Anolis sagrei: one gene and its partner. The protein of the gene in region 2 purifies or fractionates together with the protein of the main gene of each other region. This does not show direct contact. Links are inferred from orthologs where the notes say so. Each region holds a gene or a part of one and is shown on either strand. Other genes may lie near its edges. The genes, in order: BCL7C and SS18.

Region 1 (15,759 bases), on a different chromosome or scaffold from region 2:
AGCACCATTATGGCATTTTGGTTACATTTTAATGGCCACCACTCTCTCCTTTTTGGAATTAGTAGTTCAAGGGGGAGATTAGAAGTCTTTACTGCACTATAAAAATGGAGCTCTCTAAGCAGGAACTCCTGGTTTCCACAAATAGAGCCCTGGGAGCTACCCCTGGGAGCTACCCCTTGGAGCTACTGCAATGCTTCATCTATGCTGACGATCATGCCATCACCACTCAAGGAGGGAGCTTTAAAATGGTTAAACAGGAGCTCTCTGAAGCTTTTGGCATTCTTACTGCCTATTGCAGGAAGAACCAGCTGATTCCTAATCCATCTAAAATGCAGATGTGTGCTTTTCACCTTAAGAACAGATGAGCATCTCAAGCTCCAAGGACTACCTGGGGAAGAATCCCACTGGAGCATTGCAGCACACCAAACTGCCTGGGAGTTACTCTGGACCATGCTCTGATTTATAAGAAGCACTGCTTGACTATCAAGTGAAATGTGGGTGCTAGAAATAATATCATACGAAAGCTCACTGGCACAACCTGAGGATCACAACCAGATACAGTGAAGGCATCTGCCCTTATGCTTTGCTATTCTGCTGTTGAATACGCATGCCCAGTGTGCAACACATCTCACCACATGGATCTCACAATAGTGGATGTGGCTCTTAATGAGACATGTCGCATTATCACAGGATGTCTACACTCCATACCACTGGAGATATCGTACTGTTTAGCAGTATTGCACCACCTGAGATCTGCTGGGAAGTAGCAGACCAAGGCAGTGACATCTCTGGCCCATCCTCTGTTCAGATATCAGCCAGCACTCCACCTTAAATCAAGAAATAGCTTCCTAAGATCGACAGAGATACTTAAAGGAATACCCCAGCAAGCGAGAGTCCAAAAGTGGCAGGCTAAAACCTGGAACCTCAATCCATGGCTGATACTGAATGAGAGACTCCCTCCTAGGCACACAAAAGACTGGGCGACTTGGAAGACACGGAACAGACTGCACTCTGGCACCACGAGATACAGCGCCAACCTTAAGAAATGGGTCCACAAAGTGGAGTCCACGACATGTGAGTGTTGAGAAGAGCAAACCACAGGCCACCTATTACAATGCAATCTGAGTCCTACCACATGCACAATGCGGGACCTTCTTACAGCACCAGAGGCACTCCAAGTGGTCAGCTACTGGTCGAAGGACATTTAGTATAATGTCAAGTTTTTAACTTCGTGTTTTTTAAATACATTACAATGGTACCCTCAATTTGCTTCTGACACGATAAATCAATAAATAATACAACGCTGGAAATTTGGGGATGAATTTGTTGAGGAGGGAAATAATTCTTATTAGAGGGGAAATGCCCTCACTTTGGTTCGAGCATGGACTATTTATTTTATTTATTTACTTCATTTATATACCGCTCTTCTCAGCCCTCAGGCGACTCAGAGCGGTTAACAACCAAATCAACAGTACAAAACAGATCATTAGTCAATTAAAACAGCAATATCAATTAATTAACATCAAAACATCAATACAACAATAAACAAAATAACAATCCATCATGTCTCATGACTGAATCAGCATCTACTATCATTGTCCATTAATCCATATTCCAATAGTCAATCAATTGCACTGCTTAGTTGAAAGCCTGTTTGAAGAGCCATGTCTTCACTCTCTTCCGGAATGCCAGATAGGAGGAGGCCGATCTGATGTCTGTAGGAAGGGCGTTCCACAGCCGAGGGGCCACTACTGAGAAGGCCCTGTCTCTCATCCCCACCAGGCATGCTTGTGAGGCCGGCGGGACCGAGAGCAGGGCCTCCCCAGAAGATCTTAACGTCCTAACTGGTTCATAGGAAGAGATGCGTTCGGACAGATAGGTCGGGCCAGAACCGTTTGGGGCTTTAAAGGCTAAAGCCAGCACTTTGAATTGTGCCCGGTAGCAAATTGGCAGCCAGTGGAGCTGGTGCAACAGAGGAGTTGCATGCTCCCTGAGTGCCGCTCCTGTTAGTAACCTGGCTGCCGATCGTTGGACCATTTGAAGCTTCCGAGCAGTCTTCAGAGGCAACCCCACGTAGAGAGCGTTGCAGTAGTCTATACGAGATGTAACTAGAGCATGGACTACCATAGCCAAGTCAGACTTCCCAAGGTATGGGCGCAGCTGGCGCACAAGACTACAACTCGGGAAAAGGATTTGAATCCCTATTTGGCCATGAAAACACACTCGCTGACCTTGATAGATTTGCTTTAGGGCCACCATAAACTGGAAATGACTTGTAGGCACACAACAATGACAAAACATACATACACACCATTTCCAAAGTTTGCTCTTTGTTCATCCCTATCTAAAAGCTTTTGGGTACTCAAGATTCCTTCCGACCTGCTGGTAATTCCACCATATACCAATAAGACTCTCAATGCCTGGACATCAAGGAATTGTTATTCCTCCTCTTTGAACCTCAAGCCCTGTTGTTGAGCAAAGCGCTCAATCCGGCTCATGCAAAAGGAGATGTCCTTTGGCCTATCAGAAACCCAGACTGTTTGGGGCCATTGGGATTATGGCCAGCTCTTTGAAATGAGCCCAGAAACAAACAGAAACCAGTACAGCTACTTTAATAATGAAGTTGTATGTTTGGAGCATGGATCTTCAAAGATCACTTTTCCTCTTATCATGCTTAAGTGAGCCCAACAGGGTGGGGTAGAGGAGCGTGGCTTCTGCCTACTCCGACTGTATGAATGGAGCAGGGTATTTATTGGATTTTATTTATGCTTTTCTCCTGGCACGGAACTCAAGGCACCTTACAAGGTAAGCATAAAGGAACCAAGAGGTATCGTCAAGCTTTCTTGTTGTTTTCAGAAAGGTAGAGCTATTTGATGCAAGCGACAGAAACTGTTTGGATGGAGTTCATCCATTTCGTACCCTCCAATTGTCCTGGTTGGGCAGGAAGTGTCCCATTTAACCCTCTGCCCTCCCACTTTTTCAGATGCTTGTAACATGTCCCAGTTTCTCCTTCCGACTCCCGCTTTCCCTCTTCTGCAAATGAGTTCAAAGTGTAGAAGTAGTTTGGACTCAATTTGCTCAGCAAGAATAAGAAATCTCCTGGATTGTGTGTTCTTCCTCATTCATAACCTTTGCATTTCTGACCATATTCTGATGTTGGTTGACCACATATGTCCTGGGTTATTTTTCCTATGGAAATGTGGAAGTTATGCCATTTTTAACTATGATGTACATTAAAAGCACTTTGTGGCTTGAGAAGAGGAATGTAGAATTTCCCACTATTTCCCATTGTTGTTGTTGTTATTTTGAAGACAATCCGGAAATCTGGTAGATAGATAGATAGATAGATAGATAGATAGATAGATAGATAGATCGATAGATAGATAGATAGATCGATAGATCGAGGTAAATATAGGGCATTAAGTCCAGTCGTGTCCGACTGTGGGGTGTGATGCTCATCTCCATTTCAAAGCTGAAGAGCTGCCGTAGACACCTCCAAGGTCATGTGGCCGGCATGACTGCACGGAGCACTGCTACCTTCCCACCGGAGTGGTACCTATTGATCTACTCACATTTGCATGTTTTTGAACTGCTAGGTTGGCAGAAGCTGGTGCTGACACCGAAAGCTTATGCTGCTCCCCTGATTTGAACCTGCGACCTTTTGGTCAACAAGCTCAGCAGCGCAACGGTTTAACCCACTGTGCCACTGGGCCTCCCCCCCCCCCCATATATATAGATACACACACACACACACACTTTCCTCTCTCTCTCTCTCTCTCTCTCTCTCTCTATATATATATATATATATAGCTACTGTTATGGTCTTAATTGATGTGTTAATGCATTTAAATGTTTTAACGTTTTTATGATCTTGTTGGCATTGAATTGTTGCCTTGTGAACTGCCTTGAGTCGCCTGCGGGCTGAGGGGTGGTATACAAATGTAGCAAATTAAATAAATACATAAATAAATAAATAAATATACTCTTTCCTAGCTGGAAAATCTGCAGAAGGTCTTAAGATGAATATTAACAGGCCATTTCCCCCCTCTACTTTTCTTCTAACTTGAATGGCAAAACCAATACAAAAGGCCACTTGGGGGACAGTCCCTATATTGCCATAATAACTCCGGTTCTTTTGCGGTCTCTTAACTAATTCAGAGCATTAGTCTCCTCCCATCCAATCCACTGCACATGTATCAGCTGGGTCATGTTTGGGTGGGCAGAAAGTGCAACTGTGGCACTGCAAGCGCCCGTTTTATTGCATGTAAAATGAACCTTTCCGGAAAAGTAGACAAGGCAATCCCATTCCATCCTATCAAGGACTTTTTGGTGGACAAGATGAGAAATATTGCCCAAACAGATTGGCATACAACTATACTAAAACAGAAACAACCCCAACCTTTGAGTTTCATTTAATTAGCACAGTGGCTCTCAACCTTCCTAATAACACTTACACAACTGAATGGGTTTAGACTGGAAACCCCTTGGGATTTCTTCCAACTCAATGATTCTATGATTCTGTACATATGGAATCTATAGGTTTTGTTAATTCCTTCCTCTGAAATACAGCTCATATTTGTTGATGCTCTCCCATCCAAATACTAGCCAGAACTGACCCTGCTAGGCTTTCGATAGATGGAATCTGGTGCTTTTAGGGCAGTGGTTCTCAACCGTCCTAATGCCGCGACCCCTTAATATAGTTCCTCATGTTGTGGTGCCCCCCAACCATAAAATTATTTTTATTGCTACTTCGTAACTATAATTTTGCTACTGTTATGAATCGTAATGTAAATCTCTGATATGCAGAATGTATTCATTCACTGGACGAAATTTGGCACAAATACCCAATACGGCCAAATTTGAATTCTGCTGGGGTTGGGGGAGGGGGATGATTTTGTCATTTGGGAGTTGTAGTTGCTGGGATATATAGTTCACCTACACTCTGAACTCTACCAACGATGGAATTGAACCAACCTGGCACACAGAACTCCCACGACCAAGAGAAAATCCTGGAAGGGTTCAGTGAGCATTGGCCTTGAGCTTTGGAGCTGTAGTTCACCTACATCCAGAGAGCACTGCAGACTCAAACAATGATTGATCTGGACCAAACTTGGCTTGGATACTCAATATGCCCAAATGTGAATACTGGTGGAGTTTGGGGAATTGACATTTGGGAGTTGTAGTTGCTGGGATTTATAGTTCACCTACAATCAAAGAGCATTCTGAACTCCATCAACAATAGAACTGGGCCTAACATCCCACATAGAAATCCATGACCTACAGAAAATTGGTTGCGAGGTGACCCCTCAGACACCCCTTTGCGACCCCCCCAGGAGTCCTGACCCCCAGGTTGAGAAACACTGAATTAGAGGATAGTGAGGTATAAATAAATATTATACTAACAACAATAACGACCACCTGCACAAACTGCATACACCGAAGAACTCACAACCCATCTAAAAACGGGTATTTACCTCTCCTTAGAGAAAGAATAATGTGGTTGCATCAGATATGTTGCACCACTGCAGTTTAGTCATAGTCGTTTAATACAAAGCTTGCAAGTTGCTCTTTTTTTGGACTATAGTTCCTAGAACTCCTTCCCAATCAGGCAGCATGCATGTTTTCCCTGTTGGCTGGCATAATGACAGTTCTAGGAGGTATAATTTTAAGAGTAACTTTTCTAAACTGTAACCAGTTCCTTAGGGGGGGAAATACAAATTAAATTTGGATCCAGCCCACTCTAGAATGCAGTTTAACTGCACTGAACTGCATTATATGAGTCTACGCTAACCATACAAAGCAGGCATGGGTAAACTTCAGCCCTCCAGGTGTTTTGGACTTCAACTCCGGCTGTTAGGAATTGTGGGAGTTGAAGTCCAAAACACCTGGAAGGCCAAAGTTTGCCCATACCTGATATAATGTAATTTCATACTGCATTACATGGCAGTGTAGATAGGGGCATGGCAAACAATAATAAAGACACATTAAATTAATCCTGTGCCCCACACCTTGGAAGCTTGGTTTGGAGGTCCAACAATGTACCCACAACACAGAAATAATATAAGGTTGCCAGGTCCCTGTGAAGTCCCAATAAAACACTTACTGCAGTGATCTGATGACTGACCAAAAATAGATAGGTTTGCCTACGTTAACCACATTTGTATTGTCAAAGGCTTTCATGGCAGGAATCACTGGGTTGTTGTAATTTTTTTCGAGCTGTATGGCTATGTTCTAGAAGCATTGTCTCCTGACGTTTTGCCTGCATCTGTGGCAGGCATTATGTTCATCAAGTGCTCTGAAGCACCCTGGACCTTCCACAGATATATAAACCCCATTTTCCTAGCTTCCAACAGACCTCACAACCTCTGAGGATGCCTGCCACAGATGCAGGCGAAACGGCAGGAGAGAATGCTTCTAGAACATAGCCATACAGCCCGAAAAACTTAAGACAACCCATTTAACTACAGGGTTGTTGTAGGTTTTTCTGGGCTATATGGCCATGGTTGAGAGGCATTCTCTCCTGACGTTTCGCCTGCATCTATGACAAGCATCCTCAGAGGTAGTGAGGCAAGCATCCTCAGAGGTATCCTCACTACCTCTGAGGATGCTCGCCATAGATGCAGGCATATAGCCCGAAAAAACCTGCAACAAACCAATGATTCTGGCCATGAAAGCCTTCGACAATACATTTAACTACATTTCTGGCCAAAGTTGGACCACTGTCAACAAATACTATAATCAAGCCTTGGGCCTCACCATCTCCGGACATGTTCGATGGCTGCCATCACTTTCTTGATGTCATCTTTCGCCCGGCTCCGCGTCTCTGCTCGAACCGCCCGTCCCGACATCGGGGTCCAACTTTTGGGGTTGTGTTGATGTCAGAGGTGGATGTGGGGTAGATAATAAGAATCTTGGCTTCCAAGCTGGATCGCAACCTTTGGCTTAAGCTTGCCCGTTCCCTTTATCCCATTTCACTCTTTCTTTACTCTTTCTTCTTTTTCTTTTGGTCCAACTTTTGGAGTGTGATGGTATTCCAGCTGGATTCGGAGAAGATGACAAGACTCTGTATTTATTTACTTGGCAATCTTGTGTTGATGCTTGTCCATTCCCTTTATCCCATCTCACACTTCCCTTGCTGTTTCTCTTTTCTTTCTATCTATCTTTTTCTTTCTTTCTACCTGTTCCTCTCCCTCCTCTCTACCTGTTTTTGCTCACTGCAGGAATCACAGTGCTGGAAAGCATCTGCGTCACTCGGTCCTCCATCTATCTCGCCACAGCTTCTCCATCAAGCGGTCCTCCTCTGTCAATGATGTGTCAACAATTTCTCCTTTTCTCTCCCCCCTCCTTTTCTCTCTTTCTCTCTTCTTCTTCTTTTTTATTCAAGCCTTCTCCTGCACATCTCTCTTCCTCTTGAGCTTCTGCCGGTCTGGACTTCCTCCTCTTTTGTCTTCTTTTCCTGTCCAGCCTTTGCACACACACACACACACACAAAAAGGGGAAGACAAAAAAAAGAGAGAACGGAAAAAAGGCAGTTCACCATCGGAAGAAAATAATATAGTTCTTTCTGTGGTTTTTTTCTGTCTCTTTCCAATAGAGATTTGTAACTAAAGGAGCGCCATCTGCTGACTAGGAGAAGCCAGAAAAGTCTCCTGACTTGACTCTTTTTAGGATTGCATCCTGCAGGTGGAGATGCAGATAAGAAAGAGAAAAAAGAAGAAACAAATAACACATTTGCAGATACACATCTGGTGACTCAACACCATTCCCTTGTACTCTAAGCGACAGTGCTATAGGAGATCTTTAGGGCTGCAGGTTTTAGGAAGAGACCGTACAGTGAGGTTTTGAAAAGATGTCTATCATTTGATTACAGGTTGAGCATCCCTTGTCCGAAATGCTTGGGAACAGATGAGTCCTGCATTTTGGATTTTGGCATTCTTGCAGTTACATAATGAGATAGCTTAGGGATGGGACCCAAGTCTCAACGTAGAACTCATTTATGTTTCATAGAGACTTTATATGCATCACCCAAAGGTCTATACATATGACTTTTCATAATCTATATAAATAAAAATGTATTGTCGAAGGCTTTCACGGCCAGAATCACTGCGTTGTTGTAGGTTTTTTTGGGCTATATGGCCATGTTCTAGAGCAGTGGTTCTCAACCTTCCTAATGCCGCGACCCCTTAATACAGTCCCTCATGTTGTGGTGACCCCCAACCAGGCCCGTAGCCAGGATTTCGTTTTGGGGGGGGGGGCTAAAAAAATTTAAGGGGGAGTTTTGGGGGGGCTGAGTTTCGGGGGGGGGCTGAGTCTGAGTGAAAGAGGGTCTAGCCTAGCAAACCTTTTGTAATGTTGCCCCAATACCCCCATGCATATGGGATATATTGAGTATGGTGATCAGATCATGATATGAATAAACATAAGTTTAAATAATGCACCAGTAAGGCCTTTTCGCGAACCACCATGAGAATTTCGGGGGGGGGGGCTGAAGCCCCTCAAGCCCCCCCCCCCCGGCTACATGCCTGCCCCCAACCATAATATTGTTTTCATTGCTACTTCATAACAGTCATAAATCATAATGTAAATATCTGATATGCAGGATGCATTTTCATTCCCTGTACCAAACACCCAATACACCCAAATGTGAATGCTAGTGGGGTTGGGGGAGGATTGATTTTGTAATTTGGGAGTTGTAGTTGCTGGGATTTATGGTTCACTTATAATCAAAGAGCATTCTGAACTCCATCAGTGATGGATTTGAACCAAACTTGGTTCCCCTGACAAATGGAAAACACTGGAAGGGTTTGATGGGCATTGACCTTGAGTTTGGAAGTTGTAGTTCACCTATATCCAGAGAGCACTGTGGACTCATGCAATGGTAGATCTGGACCAAACTTGGCATGAATACTCAATATGCCCAAATGTGATCACTAGTTGAGTCTGGGGAAAATAGATCTTGACATTTGGGAGTTGTAGTTGCTGGGATTTACAGTTCATTACAATCAAAGAACATTCTGAACTCCACCAACGATAGAATTGGCTCAAACTTCCCACATTGAATCCCCATGACCATCAGAAAATACTGTGTTTTCTTATGGTCTTTGGCGACCCCTCTGACACCCCCTCACGACCCCCTCAGGGGTCCCAACCCCCAGGTTGAGAAACACTGTTCTAGAGGCATTATCTCCTGACGTTTCGCCTGCATCTATGGCAAATATCAACAACACCCCTCACTACCTCTGAGGATGCTTGCCATAGATGCAGGCGAAACGTGAGGAGAGAATGCCTCTAGAACATGGCCATACAGCCTGAAAAAGCATACAACAACCCAAAAATGTAATGTTCGTTTGTGGGATTAACATAACTCCAAAACCACTGAATGAATTGACACCAAATTTGGACACAATACGCCTCTCAGGCTGACAAGTGACCATCACTCATAAAACACTGAAAAACACAGCAGAAGAGACTTTAAAAGCCCAAAACAAAACAAAAATATATACATTATAATGCATGTACAAAGCCACATATATAAATGCAAAGACACATATATTCACAAATATATACACACACAAAACACATATACACAGACTGGGCCACAGCAACGCGTGGCAGGGGACAGCTAGTCTATATAAATAAAAATGTAATGTTTGTTTGTGGGGTTAACATAAATCAAAAACCACTGGACGAATTGACACCAAATTTGAACACAAGACACCTTTGTAATTTGAGAGTTGTAGTTGCTGGGATTTACAGTTCACCTATAATCAAAGAGCATTCTGAACCTCACCAATGGAACTGAACCAAACCTGGCACTCTGGACTCAAACAATAATGGATCTTGACCAAACTTGACATGAATACTCAATATACCCAAATGTGAACACTGGTGAAGTTTGTGAAAAACAGAGCATGGCATTTGGGAGCTGTAGTAGCTGGGATTTATAGTTCACCTACAATCAAAGAGCATTCTGAACTCCACCAACTATAGAATTGTACCAAACTTCCCACACAGAACCCCCATGACCACACTGTATTTTCTGGTGGTCTTTGGCAACCCTTCTGGCACCCCCCTGTGATCCCCTCCCCCAGTGGTCCCAACCCCCAGGTTGAGAAATGCTGCCTTAAGGCCATCCAGCCCAACTGCCTTCACCAGGGCAAGAAAACATAATCAAAGCCTGACAAAGAGCCATCCAGCCATAGATATAGATAGATATATATGATTCACACACACATATGACAGATATAATATAGATTTGAAAGGGACTCCTAATGAAGGACAATAATATGTTCCATGTTCCAGAGTAGGCAAACCAGACAATCTCTACATCAATATTGACCAAAAAAACAAGAAGTAATGTTTATCCACAAGCATAAAGAAATTACATATATTAGAAGCCAACACTTTCTCATTACTTTATTTTCCAGTTCACCGGGCTAGGCCACAGCAACACGTGGCAGGGGATGGCTAGTGTTGGGCATAAAACATTAAGAACGGTTTTGGAATATCTGCAATTTCAAAATTACAGATGAACGATACTCAAACTGTATATACATTTATTTACGGTCAATGACCAGCACCAATAAATGTACATACATCAGAATAAGAACATATACATTTAGGCATTAAGAAACAATGTCAAAAACAAAGTTAGAACCCAGTATTGAATATGAAAGTTAAAACGGTATTAAACACGTATATGCCAAAATGACAATGGTAAAAACTGGAGTAAATATTAAAACCTTCTAAGAGTGTGACAGCATCTTGTGACGACAAGCTATTGCTGCTGCACAAAAGCTAGCAACTTTAGCAGTAATTTGGGGTGTTGGTCAGCCAAAAGATAATCAACATAAAACTTTACATATCTCCCTGATAAACTTTCTAAAATAGGATTTATAAAATGTTAACGAAGGTCTCGGTAAAAAGAGCAGTACAACAAAATGTGATCCATAGTTTCTGTTGCCTCAGCCTCAGAGGGACATAGGCATTCATCGTATGGTACTTTGTTATCTCTTTCCTCCAGTACAGCAGAAGGGAGTACATTGAATTTAGCCAAAGAGAACACCTTCCTATGTTTTGGGATAATTAGGTTGCCTAAGTACTCTGTAGGAAGAAGCGCCCTTCCATTGTCCTAGAATCATGGAGTTAGAAGATATCATCTAGGAGTCCCTGGTGATGCAATGGGTTAATGGGTTGTGCCAACAGGACTGAAGACTGACAGGTCAGAGGTTCGAATCTGGGAAGAGTGCGGATGAGCTCCCTCTGTCAGCTCCAGCTCCCCATGCAGGGACATGAGAGAAGCTTCCCACAAGGATGGGAAAACATCAAAACATCCAGCCGTACCCTGGGCAAGGTCTTTGCAGACAGTCAATTCTCTCACACCAGAAGTGACTTGAAGTTTCTCAAGTTGTTTCTGACACACACACAAAAATCTTCTAGTTCAACCCTGCCAGTATAAGAAAGGAAAGCAGGGCAACAACAACAACAACAGGCTGCCCCCCACCCTCCAAACCTTCCACGCACAATTAAAGACCTGGCTTTGACCATGTTTAGACTCTCTTGTAATATATATATGAGGACCTTTAGATTCTTTATTAGCACTTTATACTTCTGAGATTGAATACTGTTGTTTATCTACAGCAATTGCTGTATTTTATTATTTTTACCAGGGGTATTGTGAATTTATGATGTTGCATTCATTGTATGTTTTGTTTTGCACTTGTATTTTGCATTTCATTCCTTGAATATTTTGTGAGCCGCCCAAGTCCTTCTGGCAAACTCTATTTGAACAAATCTTGCCAAGAAACCTCCGTGAGAAGTTTGCCTTAAGGTTCCCGTAAGATGGAAATGACTTGAAGGCACACAATAGTAACAAAGAATGACATCAAGGTCACAAAACATCTGCCAGCCTCGATAAGTGTTTTGCCACACAGAAAAGCCTTATCAAATCCTTGCTAGGTCATGAAAACCTAACCCTAAGTTGGAAACAACTTGACAGCACATAACTAAAGGGAATTGTTCCAACTTGTTGAATGATTTCTGCAATCTCACATCTTTACATCCTCCTTATGCAACAAAAATAACTCTGCTTCGAAAGAGCACAGATAATGAACAGAAACTATTATGTTTTTTCAAACTTTATGTTAGGCCAGCCTTCAGTGGAAAAAAAGTGAAAATAATATCAGAGACTGCAAAGTCTAGTTTCAAACAGGATGTGATGCAGAAGCTCTTATAAAAACATTTTACTTGGAAATAAGTCCCATTGATCTCAGTGGAACCTGCCTCTGAGTGGACAGAGATGAAGTGTTCCATTATTAAACACTAGCCGTCCCCTGCCACGCATTGCTGTGGCCCATATGGGGGTTCTGTGTGGGAGGTTTGGCCCAATCCTATCATTGGTGGGGTTCAAAATGCTCTGTGATTGTGGGTGAACTATAAATCCCAGCAACTACAACTCCCAAATGTCAAGATTTTCCCCCCCCCCAAAGTCCACCAGTGTTCACATTTGGGCATATGAGGTATTCGTGTAGAGATTGGTCCAGCTCCATCATTGTTTGAGTGCACAGTGATCTCTGGATGTAGGTGAACTACAACTACAACTCCAAAACCAAAGGGCACTACCCACCAAACCCTTCCAGTATTTTCTGTTGGTCATGGGAGAACTGTGTGCCAAGTTTAGTTCAATTCCATCGTTGGTGGAGTTCAGAATGCTCTTTGATTGTAGGTGAAGTATAAATCCCAGCAACTACAACTCCCAAATGACAAAATCAATTTTTTTAATGAAGGACATACATTGCGTTGTTAGGTGTCTTGTGTCCAAATTTGGTGTCAATTCGTCCAGTGGTTTTTGAGTTATGTTAATCCCACAAACGAACATTTCATTTTTATTTATATAGATTTGCTCCTATGCAGACCCCAACAAAGCCTTTCTGGCATTTCTGAAGTATGTGTATGAATACGCAGTTACTCAAGGTGCATCCACACAGCTGAATTAATGCAGTTTGACACCACTTTAACTGCCTTGGCTCAATGCTATAGAATTCTGGGAGTTATAGTTTAGAGAAGCGCCAATACTGTTTGGCAGAGAAAGCTAGAGACCTTGTAAAACTCCAATTTTTAGAATTCCATAACACTGAGCCATGGCAGTTAAAGTAGCATCAAACTTTATTCATTCAACAATGTAAGCTGGCATTTCTCAACATGGGGGCCAGGACCAATGGTGGGGGTCATGAGGGGGTGTCAGAGGGGTCGCCAAAGACCATCAGAAAACCCAGTATTTTCTGTTGGTTGTGGGGGTTCTGTGTGGGAAGTTTGGCCCAGTTCTATCATTGGTGGGGTTCAGAATGCTTTCTGATTGTAGTTCAACTATAAATCCCAGCAACTACAACTCCCAAATGTCAATGCCTATTTTCCCCAAAATCCACCAGTGTTCATATTTGACCATATTGAGAATTTGGGCATACTAAGAATTTGTGCCAAGTTTGGTCCAGATCTATCATTGTTTGAGTCCACAGTGCTCTACCTGGATATAGGTAAACTACAACTCCAAAACTCAAGGTAAATGCCCACCAAACCCTTCCAGTGCTTTCCGTTGATCATGGGAGTCCTGTGTGCCAAGTTTGGTTCAATCCCATTGCTAGTGGAGTTCAGAATGCTCTTTGATTGTAGGTTAACTATAAATACTAACAACTACAACTCCCAAATGACAAGATCAATCCACCTCTTAAGGAATCCTGGGTCCATATGACTCTATGGTCAACTTCCGCTGGAAGCTGGCTACAGAATTGCATTGGAAGATCTACAGATTCCTAGAGATGTGTTCTTTCCAGAAATATAACTGGCAGCATAACTGGCAGACATTCCTCCAGCATAACTGGCAGACATTGGCCATTGATCTACATTGGAGGACCTAGAGATTCTTAGAGAGAAAGGACAACTCTTCTAGGTTGTTGTGAATTTTCCAAGCTGTATGGCCATGTTCCAGAAGCATTCTCTCCTGATATTTTGCCTGCATCTATGGCAGGCATCCTCAGAGATTGTGAGGCCTGATGGAAATTAGGAATTTGGGGTTTATATATCTGTGGAATGTCCAGGGTGGGAGAAAGAACGTCCTAGTTTCCAACAGACCTCACAACCTCTGAGGATGCCTGCCATAGATATAGGCGAAATGTCAGAAGGGAATGCTTCTGGAACATGGCCATACAGCCCGGAAAACTCACAACAACCCAGTGATTCCGGCCATGAAAGCCTTCGACAATACAGACAACTATTCTGTTTTTTATATATTTTTAGTTGGTGGGAGCTTTTCTCACCCTGCTTCTCCAAGATGAGCTGTATCAGTTGAATTCAGACACATTTGAAATACTTTGTTCAGTGGAGAGAGAGAACATGCGCTCTGCCCAAGCTCAGCAATATTTATCATCTAAGAGAGCAGGGACGTGACTATGAGACCACTTTGGAGCACTTTTCCAGTAACAAGAACTTTGTAATCTATAATGTTGTTTATTTGATTTCTGTATAATTAAGGGTTTGTTTGGTTCCCAGCATCTCACAACACCTTCCCACACACCCCCTTTTTTACAAAGCCGGTGAGACAGGCCCGCGTAATCTTCGAAAGCAGCTTTCCGGGGATTTGAGCTGAGCAGCTCAGCCCATGGTCTCCGTTCACAGGGAGGATGACTCAAAGGCGTTAGTTGGGGTCACCATCAGCACGAGCTTTTTGTGGGGTGTCCAGCAGGGAAAAGGCCTCGGTGAGTCAGTATTTGAGAGGCCCGCGTGACTTTGGGGCAGGAAGGATTTGGGATTACAGGAAGACCATAGGCTCAGGCGGAGGGGCATTCATGCAAATGCTGGGTCAGTTGGGTATCAAGTGAGTAATGGCATTTGGGGATATTTTTGCCTTTTGTTTTCATTATCCCAGGCAGACTCATCTCACGAGGTTAGGTACATCAGCCGTGACAGTTCACTAAGCAAAGCTTGAGAGGGTTCCACTTCAGAACACATCTCCCCAAATCCACAGTCAGCATGGCTAACGGGAACTGAAGCCCAAAATGTAACATCCCAGTCCCAGTATACAAGCGCTGATTTGAAAGACATACCCATTAAAGCTGTGTTTCTCAACCTGTGGGTCAGGACCTCTTGGGGTGTCAGAGGGAGTCACCAAAGACCATCAGATAACACAGTATTTTCTGTTGGTCATGGGGGTTCTGTGTGGGAAGTTTGGCCCAATTCTATTATTGGTGGAGTTCAGAATGCTCTTTGGTTGTAGGTGAACTATAAATCCCAGCAACTACAATTCACAAAATGTCAAGTCTATTTTCCCCAAACTTCATCACGGTTCACATTTGGGTGTATTGAGTATTCATGCCAAGTTTGGTCTAGATTCATTATTGTTTGCATCCACAGTGCTCTCTGGATGTAGGTGAACTACAACTCCAAAGCTCAGTGCCCACCAAAGCCTTCCAGTGCTTTCTGATGGTCATGAGAGTTCTGTGTGCCAAGTTTGGTTCAATTCCATCACAGAATGCTCTTTGATTGTAGGTTAATCATAAATCCCAGGAACTACAACTCCCAAATGACAAAACCAATTCCCCCAACCCCACCAGTATTCCGATTTGGGTGTATCGGGTATTTGTGCCAAATTTGGTCCAGTGAATGAAAATACATCCTGAATATCAGATATTTACATTACGATTCATAATAGTAGCAAAATGACAGCTATGAAGTAGTTAGGTTGGAGGTCACCACAACATGAGGAAC
Region 2 (16,203 bases):
CACTCCCAGCCACTAATCAAAACTGGACATTTGGGGAAATAAATTAGGTGGTATTTTAAATTGTTACATCCACAATGTTTGCATAAGGCCACATCACAGCTCTTTGGAAAGACCTTTATTTTTTCAGATTATGCACACCACATATTTTCTAACTCAGTTTTAGAATTCGCTTTTTAAATAGTACCATTATACCATCTAACATGTCTCTGCCCTTGTTTTCAAAACTAGAAGAAGATTTCCTGCCATTAAGAGTGTGGTTTTCTTGTTTGTTTGTTTTTTACCTTTTTGGCAATTTATTTCAACATAAGATCCACAAGTTGACACATATTCTAACATAACATTCAAACTAGTTGTTCAGTGAACAGAGGATTTTTTTTTAAGCAGAAAGGTATCTTAGCATATGATGTAATAGTTTTCACCAGCATAATGTTTATTTTCCTTGGCAGGAATGAAAGTGATAATTAAATAATTCCAGTAACTGCATAACATTTACATTCTAATTAAGCAGTTTTGGAAATCAACCTAGAAACAGATATTTTAAGGAGTGACTGATAAATGTATTTTCTTTTCTAAAAGAAGAGATAATGCATAAAAAGGTATGCTAGAATTACATAGATGATCTAATCTCTAAAAATCTCAAAATTACTAGGGTATTTCTAATGAGATCAATCTAGCAATGATTTTTTTAAATATACCTTGTATAGGGAAATATGAGGCTAAGGATGTGCAATATGAGACAAAATCAGTCGGAAGCATAAATAGCATGTTCGTGTAGTAAACACAGTACTTTCATTAACTACATCTTAATGTAAGAAAGAGAATACCACATAATTGTCACAGAATACTTACTGGTGGCAGTATAGATTGCATATTTTGATTGGAGTCTGCTATCGTAGCTAAGTAGACCAAGTTTGTATGCAACAACTGCTGATATCTATTTTTTTTAAAAAGAGGGAAAAAAAGAATATATTCTAAATTCAAATTTGTTGCATATGTTAATAGTTTTGCTGCTGCTGTTATTAATTCATTTATATCCCAACTTTTTCCTGTACTGGAACACACAATTAAAGCACTTTAAAAATGCATATATGCCATTTAATTGTACATAGAAATAAAAAAAATACAAAAACATCAAGATCAACCAAACAATTTTGAAAAAAAAAAGCTGAACAGAAAGGTTTTCACTTGTTGATAGACAGCAAGGAGCAAGTCATTCCAATCTCCCTTGTGAGGGAATTTCGAAGTCTAGGAGCAGCCACTGAGAAGGGTCTCTCTTCAGTTCGCACCAAAGAAGATAGATCTGAAAGAAGATCCTTTCCCAATGATCTTAAAAGCCTAGCTCAACACATATTCAAAGATATGGTCCTTCAGACAGCTTAGACCAGAACCATATAAGGCTTTTTAGGTCATAAGCAATTATTTGAATTGTGCCTAGATATGATGAAGAGTTCCATGCTCCCAGTCTCAGAGTCAAAAATTCCAGCACCATGGGCTGGATGTAGTATTGTGGCCTGACTGTTTTACAATAAAGTATATTAAAATATTTGGTTAGCAGTTCTTTGTTATATGTCAGCCAAAACCAGGATGGCAAGGTGTGATTTGTCACTTCCTTTGGATATTTATAGACATTTGCAGGTTGAATTAATTTCTCTCATTCTGGGTTTTTCCTTAGATATTTATAAGGGATACTATGAGATGTATGTATTTATGAGATGTATGGATTTATAAGGGATACTATGAGATTTATAAGGGATGAGAAATGTAGGGACATCTAAAAGTAAGGTTTGCATGCCATCCTTCTTCAAGTAAACCTGATGTGTTCTATGCTTTCTAAACTTAATCTAATACAAGTTTGCTTCACTCAAATTTTACAGAAATGTCAATGAATGATGCCAAAGAACTTGATGTACACGGTACAGGGATATAATCTTGTATGAATGAGTTTGGTTTTGCTTGTTAAACAATTAACCATAGTCTCTGCAAAAAAAAATCCAGTCACCACTGTCCAGTAATATAAATTAATTATGTAATAATAACCCATTATATAAACTGTGCATCAGGTTGCCCAGTTTGGAAGCAGCAGCTGACGCAGAATCCAACAGACCACTGATAACAAGGGAACACAATATTTGTTTATGCATTGGCAACCATTTATTTTAGGAACTGCTTCAGGGTGTTGGTTTTCACATTTAAAACCCCGAATAGGATGTGTTTATCTAACACCCACCTTTTTACATTTCTTTAGAAATAATAATAATAACCCTTTATTTGTACCCCACTACCATCTCCCCAAGGGACTCGGTGCGGCTTACATGAGGCCGAGCCCAAACACAACAATACAAGCAATAATAACAACAATACAAGCAATTAAAAAACATAGACAATAAAATACATAACATTATCAATAAGACAACACATAATTAAAAACAGTAGGAAGGCCAAATGTAGAGTTAAAATTGGAAATAATGCTGGGACATGGACAAATGTGATACTGGTGTTTGTGGAAGGGCATACGAGCAGACTTAAAGAAATGTAAAGTGCTTTGGAGGACAAAGTACTATGGGATCATTATTCCAGGAAGGCACGCTGGAACAGCCATGTCTTCAAGCTCCTCCTGAAGACTGCCAGAGTTGGAGCCTGTCTGATGTCTTTAGGGAGTGAGTTCCAGAGTCGAGAGGCCACCACCCCTCGACTAATAACAATAAAAGTAATAATTTCCCTATGAGCAGATTGTTTTTGCAGAGTTTATAGAGATGTAGCAATGCTGCAAGAGGGAGGAACTTGCTTTTCTTTTAACTTGCCAATTTGGTACTTCACCAGCATGCTGGCTTATGCTTACCTGTATTTCGCAAAACAGATATAAGGGCAAGTCAGTTGCCCAGGAGGAGATGTTACTTGTGCCAACGGAATAACTGACAGGAATGCTGTGTAACCTGATGTTAGGTTGGTTTCTCCATAAAGAATCCACAGGCTAGCTTGCACAACTTATTTCATGCTACTGATAGACCTGCTCCACTTGCAAACCACAGTTCCCATGCACTACATACAGATTGTCAACTTACTGAGAGCATTCAGTGGCTTTGCCTTTGTTCTGGTAGTCCATTATACATTGAATAAGATGGTTGTTTTCATCCAACATCTGAAAACAAAACAGATGCTAAGAATAAGACTAATCTACTTCAACATACATACAATTCTATTCAGTTTCTTTAAATATTCTAACTTAAGATAGAATACTGTGTACATTCAGATTGAACTGGAAAGAAATTTCTAGGTATTCTTCTAAACTTCCTGAAACTAACTTCACTTTAGGTCTTAAGACATTTAACATTTACTGGTATTAAAATACATTTACCAAAAGCATTCTGTCATTTTGGAATTATCACCTATCAAAGTAACAGATTTCTTCATTCTAGATACAAGTAGAGTTGTACTTTATTAGCATTTTACTTTCAGTTGAAACCATACTCTCTCTCAGCCCATCTTGGAGAATCTTGGAGAATCTTATTGCCATTTTCTTTTGTTTACAAGATGAATTCAAAAGTTCATCGCCTACATGATTTAAGCAACATGAAATGGGCAAAAGGGATAATCCCCTCATTTGCTCTTCTCTCTTATGTACTTCCTGCCTCTTCTTGCAGCCCTCCAGAAAGTGGAGGGATTAGCCTATGTAATATGGAACCATATGTAAGCATATCATTCCCCTACAAAATTCAGAATGCTAGAACTTGAGGTTCTAAACTACACAAGGAACTAATACTGCTAGAGACTTCTCTATACGGGGTCTTACTGTATCAGAATTAGATATTAAAACTTTGAAAAGAAAATAAAGTATTACTTGAATAGGTGATAATAACTTTAAATATGGAAGCACTAATGCAATAAATGCAGCTTTTAGATTTCAAAACAGTTTTGAGTAAGAGACTTTGTATCGGCAACATGTACCAACAAGAGTTTTACATTCTCAGTACATTAATTACCATTGTCATGAACTAAGAAACTCCAGAAGCTAAAACACCTACACATTTCCATTACTAATCTTTCCAGTTTCACATGTAATTGCAAGCTATGCATTACATGGTTGCAGTCCTATTAGCCTTCTACCCACTACTATCAAACTTATGTTTCAGATGCACATTTATTTCATGTTGCAAATCCAGTGTTCAAGTATATATATTTATTTAATCACAGCTACATGTTTTAAGAGTTACAATAGTATGTTCACTGTTCTGTTCACCTTCTTACTCCCTCCCACAATGTGAAAGAATGTCTATTCTCACCTTCCGTGAACCCATAAAACTTAGATTGTTACTTTTCCAGACAGTTTAGCTTATAATACCTTTCCAAACTAGTGTTCCTTCGCTCCTTTGCGGTTCACTTACTGCAGACTTGCTATTTCGCGGTTTTCTCTGCATGGCCCTCCTCCTCCTCCTCGCCTCCCCTCTCCCCTTGGCAGCTCAGCAGCTCCCAAGTGAGGGAGAAGTGGAGGGAAAGCAAAGGAAGAAAGAAGGCAAGGAGGGAGGGAGGGAAGGTGAGGAGGAGGAGGGCTGCACAGACAAAAGTGTCCCTCTTGCCAGGGGAGGGTGGCATGGGTGCCCGAGGGAGGTAGGGTGGGGAAAGAGGAGAGGAAAGAGAAGGTGAAGTGAGGGGGGGGGAGTGTCCCTATTTCACGGAACACCTGCGATAAGTGAGGGAACACTGTATTCCATTTATAATAGCATTACACTGAACTAAAGCATATAGTCCTGAGGCAATGCCCTGCTCCCTCTGATCCCAGCAGACTCTAAAGCGCCGAACACTGAAGCAGAGAATGGGACCTAAGATGAGACCTGTGACTGCCACTATCTTACAACTAATACTGTAACCCCAAATATAGGTTGAGCATCTCTTATTCCAAATCCTGAAACCCAAAACATATGGGTGGCTGAGATAGTGTCACCTTTGCTTTTTGAAGCGTCAGTGAACATTATTTCATGCATGAAATAATTAATATTGTATAAAGTTAACTTCAGGCTATGTGCATAAAATGTATATGAAACATAAATTAAATTTTCTATGTGGATCTCCAAGTTATCACATTATATATGTATATACAAATGCAGATAATTCAAAATCTAAAAATACCCCAAATTCAAAATACTTGTGGTCCCATGCATTTTGGATAAGAGATACAGAACCTGTATATGCATTGCCTAATATCTACCCCTTGGAAGGGAAATCCACTCCTGAGTTATCATGGAGAAAAGGTGTCTCCACTGAAGTTTTATCTACCATCCTTGTTTCCACAACAACTTACATTTTTTCAAAACCCAATTTTCACAGGGACAGAAAGTGAGATGAAATCTTTTGAACAGGGGCACAGACAGCAAAACAAACGCCACAGAGCTGTTGATGCTTCCCCAAACCCTTCTCCAAAAGCGAAAAGATAAATATTTTTGGCTGTAGTTACACTTAAAAAATGTACCTTTTCTGACTTACAAACAAGTTCAACTTAAGAACAATCCTACAGAACCTTTCTTGTTTGTAACTTGGGGACTGTCTGTTTTTAACTTTGAATATGTTTTAATGGATTTTAACTGTGAATGTTTTAATGCTGTTTATATTTAATTCTGTTTTAATGTTTGCATATTTTAAATTGTTTGCTAATACTTTTATGTTAAGCCTCTTTGAGTTTCCTTTGGGAAATATAAAGCAGGGTATAAATAAATATTGCAATAATAATAATAATAATCTAAATTGAAAAGATAAAAAACAAAATCTAAAACACATTTGGTTCCAAACATTTCAGGTAAGAGACAGCCAAGCTGTACCTGTTTCTGCAAATGCACAATGAGATAGCTTGGAGATGGGGCTCAAGTTTCAACATGAAAATAATTCAGGTTTTTCACACACCTGATTATTATATACATTGCTGGAAGGTAATTTTTAATTGTGTATGAAACGAAGTATACATATAATGAACCATCTGAGAGCAAATACTGTAGAATGATTGCAGCTTGGCACCACTTTCACTAGCATGGCTCAATGCTAGAGAATCCTAGGAGTTGTAGTTTGGTGACTCTGTGGCAGAGAAGGCCATGGGCCTTGTAAGGAATTGTGCGAGTTAAAGTTCAAAACACCTAGAGGGCCGTAGTTGGCCCATGCCTGGTGTAAGTAAAGGTTTCCCCTTGACATTTAGGGCCCTTCCACATAGCCCTATATCCTAGAACAGGGGTCCTCAAACTTCTTAAACAAAGGGCCAGGTGACAGTCCCTCAAACTGTTGGCGGGCCGGATTATAATTTGAAAAAAGCATGAATGAATTGCTAGGGACACTGGCCATATCTTATTTGTAGTGCAAAAAAACCCACTTAAAAACAATACAATAATTAAAATGAAGAGCAATTTTAACAAATGTAAACTTATTCAAAAGTATTTCAATGGGAAGTGTGGGCCTGCTTTTGGCTGATGGGATAGGATTGTCATTGTTGTGTGCTTTCAAGTTATTTCAGACTTAGGTTGACCCTGAATGAGGGGCAGAGAAATGACCTTGAAGGGCTGTATCCGGCCCCCGAGCCTTAGCTTGAGGACCTCTGTCCTAGAACATTAAGGCAGGAAAACCCACAATATCTGCTTTGAACTAGGGTATGTGAGTCCACACTGTCATATATCCCAGTTCAAAGCAGATGTGGGATTTTATTCAGCTGTGTGAAAGGTGGTGGGGGTCATACTCATCTCCATTTCTAAGCTGCATGGGGTGCTGTTACCTTCCCACGGAAGTGGTACCTACTGATCTACTCACATTTGCATGCTAGGTTGGCAGAAGTTGGGGTTAACAGCGGGAGCTCACCCCGCTCCCCGGATTTGAATCACCGACCTTTCGGTCAGCAAGTTCAGCACAGTGGTTTAACCCACTGCACCACAGGGGGCTCCATGCCTGGTACAGATGCCACTAATTAAGACAATTTGGGAATATTAGGACCAGGCATGGAGCCCCCTGTGGTGCAGTGGGTTAAACCACTGAGCTGCTGAACTTGCTGACCGAAAGGTCGGTGATTCAAATCCAGAGAGCGGGGTGAGCCATTTTCAGAATTGGGGATAAGGAATGATCAATGTGGTCCTTTCCACACAGCTGTATAAAATCCCACGTTATCTGCTTTGAACTGAATTATATGGCAGTGCGGACTCAAGATAGCCTAGATCAGGGGTCCACAAACTTTTTAAACAGAGGGCCAGGTTACAGTTCCTCAAACATGAATGAATTCCTATGCATTCCACATATCTTATTTGTAGTGCAAAAATCACTTAAAAACAATACAATAATTAAAATGAAGAACAATTTAAACAAATAGAAACTTATTAGTATCTCAATGGGAAGTGTGGGCCTGGTTTTGGCTCAAGAGATAGGATTGTTGTCGTTGTTGTTGTGTGCTTTCAAGTCATTTCAGACTTAGGTTGACCCTTAGCAAGGGCCGGATAAATGACCTTGGAGAGCCGCATCCGGCCCCCGGGCCTTAGTTTGAGGACCCCTGGCCTAGATTTAAAAAAAAAGATATTGTGGGTTATCTGTCTTGATATTTTGGGGCCCCTTCCACACAGATGAATAAAAACCCACATGATCGGCTTTGAACTGGGACATAGAGCAGTGTGGACTCTGATAATCCAGATCAAGGCAGAGATTGTGGATTATGTGTCTTGATATTCTGGGTGATAGGACTGTGTGGAAGGGCCCTCAGTGGAAGGAACAAAGAAGGACTCCATTCACATAGCAAGAAGGGTGTATTCCTCTCGCCATCATTCCCCTCAGGGCCTCGGCTACCTTCCTGGGTTTCGGGAAGGCCACTGTCCCATCTGCACTGACCATTTAGCGCAGTTTGAAGAAAGTGATGACACAGGAAACCCAGGACCCACTTTGAGGCCCAGGTGGTGGTGGTGGTGACAGAAGCCAGAGAGCAAAGAGGCGTTTAAAGGGCGAGCTGTGGGGGGAGCGTGTTTCCTGGCTCCAGCTGCGAGCTGGTCTAAGCGGCCAGTGCGGAGGGAGGCCTTTCCCGGACCCGGGTTGCCCCGCTTCCCGCCCAGGCCCTTCCGCCCACCTTCTGGATCGCAGCCGGCGTGATCTCGCCCTTCCCCCTCTGCCTGGGGGCGGCGAAGGCCACCGACATCGCGAAGGACCCCCACGCCGCCTTCTTCCCCGGCTGCTCCTCGCCTTCGCCTTCCTTTCTCCGCGCCCCTCACACGACGGACGCCTCTCTGAGGAGCAGAGCGAGTCGGAGGAGGAAGCGGCTGCCCGTTGGGACGAACCATTGCACGGCGCGGGGGGAGGCAAGCCTTGAACCCGCCTCACTCAGTGGACACAGCCACTCACCCCGCCTCGCGTTTCATTTAACTGTGTCCCAAAACGTCACAGGCGTTTTGTTTCTGGTGGCTGGGAGTGTGGTTTCGAGGGCGCTCAGGCAGTCGTCCTCCCCCATTTCTGCGTGATAATGGTACGTTCCTACCCGACCTCCTTCGAGAGCTGAAAGCGACAACAAATGGTCCTGCCCAGAAAGAAGAGGAGGAGGAGGGAAGAGGAGGGAGCGCATGGTGTCCTCCCACTCTTTCTCCTCCTCCTTTTTGCCCAGAGTGGGCCTCTTTTCCTGTCACGAGCCGCGAAAGGGAAACTCCAAACCCGCCTCTCTCTCCATCTGTCCATCTATCTATCTAAATAAATAAAAAGTAATGTTTGTTTGTGGGATTAACAGAACTCAAAAACCATTGGACCAATTGACACCAAATTTGGACAGCATACACCTAACCACCCAATGTATGTCCAGCATCCACCTAACAACCCAAATGTACCTGATGAACAGCATATTATTTGAGAACACAGAAATGCTGGACCACTCTCACAACCACCATGTCAGACTACACAGAGAAGCTATTGAAATCCACAAGCATGTGGACAATTTCAAGGAAGGAAGAAACCATGAAAATGGACAAAATCTGGCTACCAGTATTTTAAAAACCTCTAAAATTACAACAACAAAACAACAGAAGGGAAACAACCAGGCACATCTTAACACCTCTCAACAAAAGATTCCCCCAGGCTCAGCCAGGCCTACAAGTGCTAATGAAGGTGGTCAGCTGAAACATTCACACCTAGCTCCAGCAGAGAAGAGCACTTTGCCCCACCCCAGTCATTCCACAGATATATAAACCCATTTTCCTAATTCCAACAGACCTCACTACCTCTGAGGTTGCTTGCCATAGATGCAGGCGAAACGTCAGGAGAAAATGCCTCTAGAACATGGCCATATAGCCCGAAAAAACTCACAAGAACCTAATGATTCCAGCCATGAAAGCCTTTGACAATACAAAATAATGTTTGTTTGTGGGATTAACAGAACTCAAAAACTTGTGGGCCAATTGACACCAAATTTGGACAGCACACACCTAACAACCCAATGTATGTCCTTCACTCAACATTTTTGATTTTGTCATTTGGGAGTTGTAGTTCCTGGGATTTATAGTTCACCTACAATCAAAGAGCATTCTGAACTCCACCAATGATGGAATTGAACCGAACGTGGCATACAGGACTCCCACGGCCCACAGAAAACACTAGAAGGGTTTGGTGGGCATTGACCCTAAGTTTTGGAGTTATTATTATTAACTTTATTTATACCCCGCAAAATCTCCCGAAGGACTCGATGCGGCTTACAAAGGCCAAGGCCACCAAGAAACAACAGCATACAAATACAACAGTAAAACTCATAAGCAAATAATAAAACATCAAGCAAAACAATAAAACACTAAAAACAATGACACCATGACATATTTAAAACCTAAAGGCTGGGCCAAATGTAATGGACAAAATTTAAAAAGTGCTAGACTTGACAGGTGATATGTAGAGGTTTTTTGGAAGTAGGTGCAATGTGCAGACATTCCTAAATCACTAACAAAGTGCATTTGGGACATGATGCCAGGAGTTTCCTATTCTGGAAAGGCACACTGGAACAGCCAGGTCTTCAGGCTCTTCCTAAAGACTGCCAACGTTGTGGCTTGTCTGATGTCCTTGGAGAGAGAGTTCCAGAGTCGGAGGGCCACCGCAGAGAAGGCCCTGTCCCTCATCCCCACCAAACATGCTTGCGACGCAGGTGGGATCGTGAGAAGGGCCTCTCCAAATGATTGAAGGGAACATGTGGGTTCATATATGGAGATGCAGTCACGCAGGTAGGTGGGTCCCACTCTGTTTAGGGCTTTGTAGGTGAGCACCTGCACCTTGAATTGGGACCGGAAGATGAACGGCAGCCAATGGAGCTCCTTAAACAGGAGGGTTGACTTCTCTCTGTAAGGAGCGCCGGCTAACAACCTGGCTGCCGACCATTGGACCAGTTGGAATTTCCGAGCCATTTTCAAGGGCAGCCCCACGTAGAGTTGTAGTTCATCTACATCCAGAGAGCACTGTGGACTCAAACAATGATGGATCTGGACCAAATTTGGCACGAATATTTCATATGCCCAAATATGAACACGGATGGACTTTGAAGGAAAGAGGCCTTGACATTTGGGAGTTGTAGTTGCTGAGATTTATAGTTCACCTACAATCAAAGAGCATTCTAAACCCTACCGATGACAGAATTGGGGCAAAATTCACACACAGAACCCCATGACCAACAGAAAATACTTACGGCCATCCAGTCCAACTCCCTTCACCTGGGCAAGAAAATGTAATCAAAGCCCTCTTGACAAAGAGCCATCCAGCCATTGGTATAGATAGATAGATATGATTCGCGCACAGAGAGAGAGAGAGAGAGAGAGAGAGTATGCTAGATTTGAAAGGGACCCCTATGGAAGGGCAATGATATGTTGCATGTTCCAGAGTAGGCAAACCAGACGATCTCGACATCACTGATAGATGTGGAATATCCTGCCTTGATATTCTGGGATATAGGATTGTGTGAAAGGTCTGTCTGTTGCTTGTTTTAGGCCTAAAACTATCTAGCAGCTTGTGATCCCTTTATTTTATCAGTTTTAGATAAACCATTTTATGCAATGCTTTTGACACGAAATAAGAGAAATAAATTACTGCAGCTGAATGCTATGGGATCCTGGGATTTGTAGTTTGGTGAGGCAGCAGCACTCTTTGACAAAGGAGGGTAAAGACCTTGTAAAACTACAACTATCATTTCACGGTCTCTACATTCTTTTCGTGTTTTTTGCCATTTCTTTTTTTGAAAAGATGTTGAGAGCTAGTTGATTGACAAAACATTACGCCACCTTTTCTAAGAATATAGCTACATTGTAGAATTAATGTAGTTTGATACCACTTTAACTGTCAAAGCTCAATGCTATGGACTCTGTGGAGTTGTGGTTTAGTGAGGTACCAACACTCTTTGGCAGAGAACGCAAAAGACTTTGTAAAACTACAACCCAGGGTTCATAGCACTGAACCATAGCAGTTCAACTGGCGTCAAACTGCTCTTATTCTACAGTGAAGATGCACCTTAGTCCAACACTGAAAGCACTATACCCTACAGAAAGAGTTTGAAACCCTTTATGATTCAAGTTGGAATGCTCTTGTAGAATTTTGTTCAATTTCTTTTGCCCAATACAAATAACATACAAAGTGGTTCTTTGGTTGCAATAAAAAGAGGATAACAAAGATTAGGAGAGAATCAGAAATTGTTTTGCTACAAATTGTCTCAGAGGCTCTGTTTTACTTTGAATTTGTTACTGATGATATTGAAAGTGTTGCATAATGTTTTGTGCAACATCATCTGCTACTGCCTGGATTTTCATTTTGTGTGCTTTCATACATTGTTTTAATCACCTACTACAATAAAAATATTGATGACGATACTGTTAACAGTATAGCTACACTATCTGAGTCAGACCTTATTAACTCTACTTCTATGCTTTGGAGCCTAGGAAACTTATTTTTTTTAGATCAGTTCCCAGAGCTCCCCAGTCAGTGTCCACATTCACTGAGGGATTCTGGATATTGTAATTAAAATCTATTTGTATTGTCCGCGAGTTCATCTACACCAGGTATGAGCAAACTTTGGCTCTCCAGGTGTTTAGGACTTCAACTCCTACCATTCTTAACAGCCCCGGGCCCCTTCCCTTTCCCCCTTAGGCTCAGTCTACGTCTTGAGGTCAACAGATAATCAAATTACATTGAGACAGGCATGGGCAAACTTTTGCCCTTCAGGTGTTTTGGACTTCAACTCCCATCAGGAATTATGGGAGTTGAACTCCAAAATACCTGGATGACTGAAGTGTACATTCTACACTGTAAAATCAATGAAATTTGAAATCACTTTAATGACTATGGCTCAGTGCTATGGAATCATGGAAGATTTAGTTTTTTAGTCTTCTCTGCAAAAGAATACTGGTACCTCAGCAAACTACAACTCCCAGGATTCCACAGCACTGAGCCATAGCAACTAACGTGGAGTCAAACTGCATTAATTGTATAGTGTAGACTGACCCTGCATGTGTTACATTAGAATTTCATTGTGCTGAGTTTAGAAACAGAAATGGAGAGAGTTAAAGACTGTTGTATATTAACACAAATTGGACCTCAAAAGCAGCACCTCATGGAAGAAGAAGAAGAAGAAGAAGAAGAAGAAGAAGAAGAAGAAGAAGAAGAAGAAGAAAAGGTACAGTATTTGGTAAGTGACAGGGTAAACATTAGGTAACTGAAAACCTAATTTCTTCCAAATAATTTCATTGGGAGATCTGGCTTTAATCTCAGCCAATAAACTCCAATTAGATTTTCTTGCTTTTCCCCTCTTTCCTTTTCTCACAGAGGATACTGGAAGGTTTGTTTGTCATTATCATTTATTTCCTGCTTTCACAAAAGATTCTGCAAGGTTTCTCAGTCATTATTCTTTACGGTATCCTAGCATCTGAAGTACCAATTGATACACAGAATCTCGTTGGCATTACACACAATAAAACATATTAGCATCATGCGTCTGTTTTGTTTTCTTGCCCCATAACAATCTCTAGGGACTAAGCAGGAAATGAAAATTTAACATGCGTGCAACAAAACACAACCTTCCTTGTCCCTTTATGACTGATTCTTTCCACAATTGTGCAAATTGGGTGCAATATATGTAAAGATGAATCAAAACTTGCATTGAATTGGACATAGAGCGTGGCCTTAATTTGTCTGCTTGGAATTAAATCATATAGGTTGCAATTGGGCTTGTTTCTAAAGAACTATGCCTATGATAACAGACCTTGGCAATTATTGTTTGCTTGAAACGAATGGATTTCAATGACATTTTGTATTCCTGTCTTTCCCTGGATTGTTCCCATTGTCACTGGCATAATAGATAATGAGGTGTCATATCTTAGCTCATGAAAACAGCATTGTGGGGTGATGGGATGTAGCTCTTCTTATGATGCTTTTTATGGCATATAAGGGATTATCTCAACAGGGCAGGATGCCTTGAATTTACTCCATTTATTGGTTTATTTTGTCTTGCCTGGCTTTTTCTAGTTTTGACATTTATGATTTGCATTGGATATTGCATGGAATATTAAAAGAGTAGCCCTTGATATATGGGCCTCTGTGTCCCAATGTAAAAATGAACTACCAAGCAACATCCCATTTACAAAGGTAGAAGTGTCTGTGATATCTTCCAGAGAGATCTTAATGAAACAAGTGAGAGTCGCAGGGATGCTAAATTTTGATTCTACCCTGTGACATGTTCGTTGGCAAATATAAATATTTTGGCATAAAAGAAATACACATCTTCTTGAACAGTCAGCACTAATGGGAGGATGTGGCATAGCCCTAGTGACAAAATCTTTCCAAGTCCTGGCTTTATTTTTCGAAAGGGAGTCTCCTACTTGCATTCATAAATAAAAAATAATATGGCACTATCTTGTCTAACTTCCCCTTAAGATTAAAAGTCCACCAAGATTTTCTTTTGTTCTTTAAGATGGTACTCTGTATCAGCAACATTTGCATCCTTCCCTTTCTCAAAGGCATTTGTGGTTCTGTAGGTTATTTCTCCCGTATCCCTTAATAATTGCTACCAGCTTGAAAAATGTCTTACTTTGGAAGAGCACAGTGGGCTTGTGATGGCCCTAAGAGTTTTATGGCTGAAATGATGTTTGAAGGGAGCTCTCAGCCCATTTCACATTTTATACACTATCGAGGTTCTCAATCTCTAGTGCTCCAATATTTCAGAGTTTTCAGAAGTTCCAACCAGTGTGGTCAATGATCAGGGGTTTGGAGAAGTGAAGTAAAAAATACTTGGAGTACAAAACTTTGTTCATTGCCCTCCCCACCCCCATGCCTTCAATTTCAAGCTCCTTCCATAGAATCATAGAAACATAGAGTTGGAAAAGACCATAAAAGCCAGCCAGTCCAACCCCCTATTCAGGAAAAACATGGTAGGGATTTTTGGGTGGCATGATTTTAATTGATGTTTTAATTGTTTGGTTTTAATTGTAATTGATTATTTGATATATGATTGTATGGCATCAAATTGCTGCCTAGAATCATAGAATCATACAATTGGAAGAGACCTTGTGAGCCATCTAGTCCAGTCCCCTACCAAGAAGCAGAAAATCATAATCAAAGCATGGCTATCTAGCCTCTGTTTAAAAGCCTCCAAAGAAGGAGCCTCCACCACACTCAGGGGCAGAGAGTTCTACTGCTGAACAGCTCTCACAGTTAGGAAGTTCTTCCTAATGTTCAGGTGGAATCTCCTTTCTTGTAGTTTGAAGCCATTGTTCCACATCCTATTGTCCAGATCAGCAAAAAAGAAGCCTGCTCCTTCCTCCCTAAGACTTCCCCTCACATATTTATACATGGCTGAAATGTCTTATCTCAGCCTTCTCTTCTGCAGGTTAAAAATGTGCAGCTTTTTAAGCTGCTCCTCATAGGAATTGTTCTCCAGACCCTTGATCATTTTAGTCACCCTTCTCTGGACACAATCCAGCTTGTCAAGATTTCTCTTAAATTGCAGTGTTCAGAACTGGATACAGTATTCCAGGTGTGGTTTGACCAAGGCAGAGTAGAGGGGTAGCATGACTTCCCTGGATCTAGACGCTATACTCCTATTTATGCAGGCCAAAATCCCATTGGCTTTTTTAGATGCCGCATCACATTGTTTATACGGTTTTATACTGTTTATAATGTTTTATATTCTTATTATTACATTGCTGTTAATTGTATATTTATGTTTGGAGGGGGGTGCCATGGGGTGCCACTTTGTTAGCCATCCCGAGTCCCTCTGCGGAGGTTGAGAAAGGATGGGATATAAAAGCCCTAAATAAATAAATAAATTGTTGGCTCATGTTTAACTTGTCCATGAGGACTCTAAGATCTTTTTCACAGGTACTGCTGTTGATCCAGGCATCCCCCATTCTGTATCTTTGCATTTAATTTTTTTTCTGCCTAAGTGGGGTATCCTGCATTTGTCCCTGGTGAACTTCATTTTGTTAGTTTTGGTCCATCTCTAATCTGTTAAGACTGTTTTGAATTCTGCTCCTGTCTTCTGTTGTGTCAATATTGTTGTGTCAATATTGTATATTATGCTTTTATGGTTTTAAATTGTATATCGTTGATTGATTCTTATCCTTGTTGTAAACCGCGTTGAGTCGCCTGTTGGGCTGAGAAACTGCGGTATACAAGTAAAGTAAATAAATAAATAATAAATAAGTATTGGTTATCTCTCCCAATTTGGTGTCATCTGCGAACTTGATGATCATGCCTTCTAAACCTTCATCTAAGTCATTAATAAAGATGTTGAACAGAACTGGGCCCAGGACAGAACCCTGTGGCACACCTGTTGTAAGGCCTCCTGAAGTCTCCTCCAGGGTGAGAAGGATGAGGTACAAATATGGGAAATCAATCAATCAATCAATCAATCAATCAAAGCATTCCTAACATATGGTCATCCAACCTCTGTTTAAAAATTTCCTGAGGAGACAACACTACACTCCAAGGCAGCATAGTCTACTGCTGAACAGCTCTTACCATCAGGAAGTTCTCCCTAATGTTTACATGGAATATATTTTCCTGCAATTTAAATCAATTATTCTGTGTCCTTATTAATCTCCAGAGCAACAGAAAACAACCTTGCCTCCTCCTCAATGTGACATCCTTTCAAATATTTAAACATGGCTATTATGTCCCCTCTCAGTCTTCTTTTTTCCTATCCAAACATACCTCTCTCCTATCTAAATATACCTAGCTCCCTAAGCTGCTCTTCATAGG

Evidence for each region.
Region 1: the proteins of SS18 (region 2) and BCL7C purify together in Homo sapiens (affinity purification with mass spectrometry; 3 studies listed by BioGRID and IntAct, counting the BioPlex papers as one, with this or other methods). This does not show direct contact. The link is inferred for Anolis sagrei from reciprocal best matches to the Homo sapiens genes SS18 and BCL7C.

What each region holds. Positions count from the first base shown.
Region 1 is NC_090026.1:14,291,711-14,307,469, forward strand, and holds the start of BCL7C (B-cell CLL/lymphoma 7 protein family member C), read right to left. Parts: upstream 7,604-15,759; 5' UTR 6,849-7,603; coding exon 6,757-6,848; intron 1-6,756. UniProt on the Homo sapiens protein: May play an anti-apoptotic role.
Region 2 is NC_090024.1:58,265,322-58,281,524, reverse strand, and holds the start of SS18 (protein SSXT), read right to left. Parts: upstream 8,280-16,203; 5' UTR 8,141-8,279; coding exon 8,072-8,140; intron 3,140-8,071; coding exon 3,063-3,139; intron 935-3,062; coding exon 850-934; intron 1-849. UniProt on the Homo sapiens protein: Appears to function synergistically with RBM14 as a transcriptional coactivator. Isoform 1 and isoform 2 function in nuclear receptor coactivation. Isoform 1 and isoform 2 function in general transcriptional coactivation.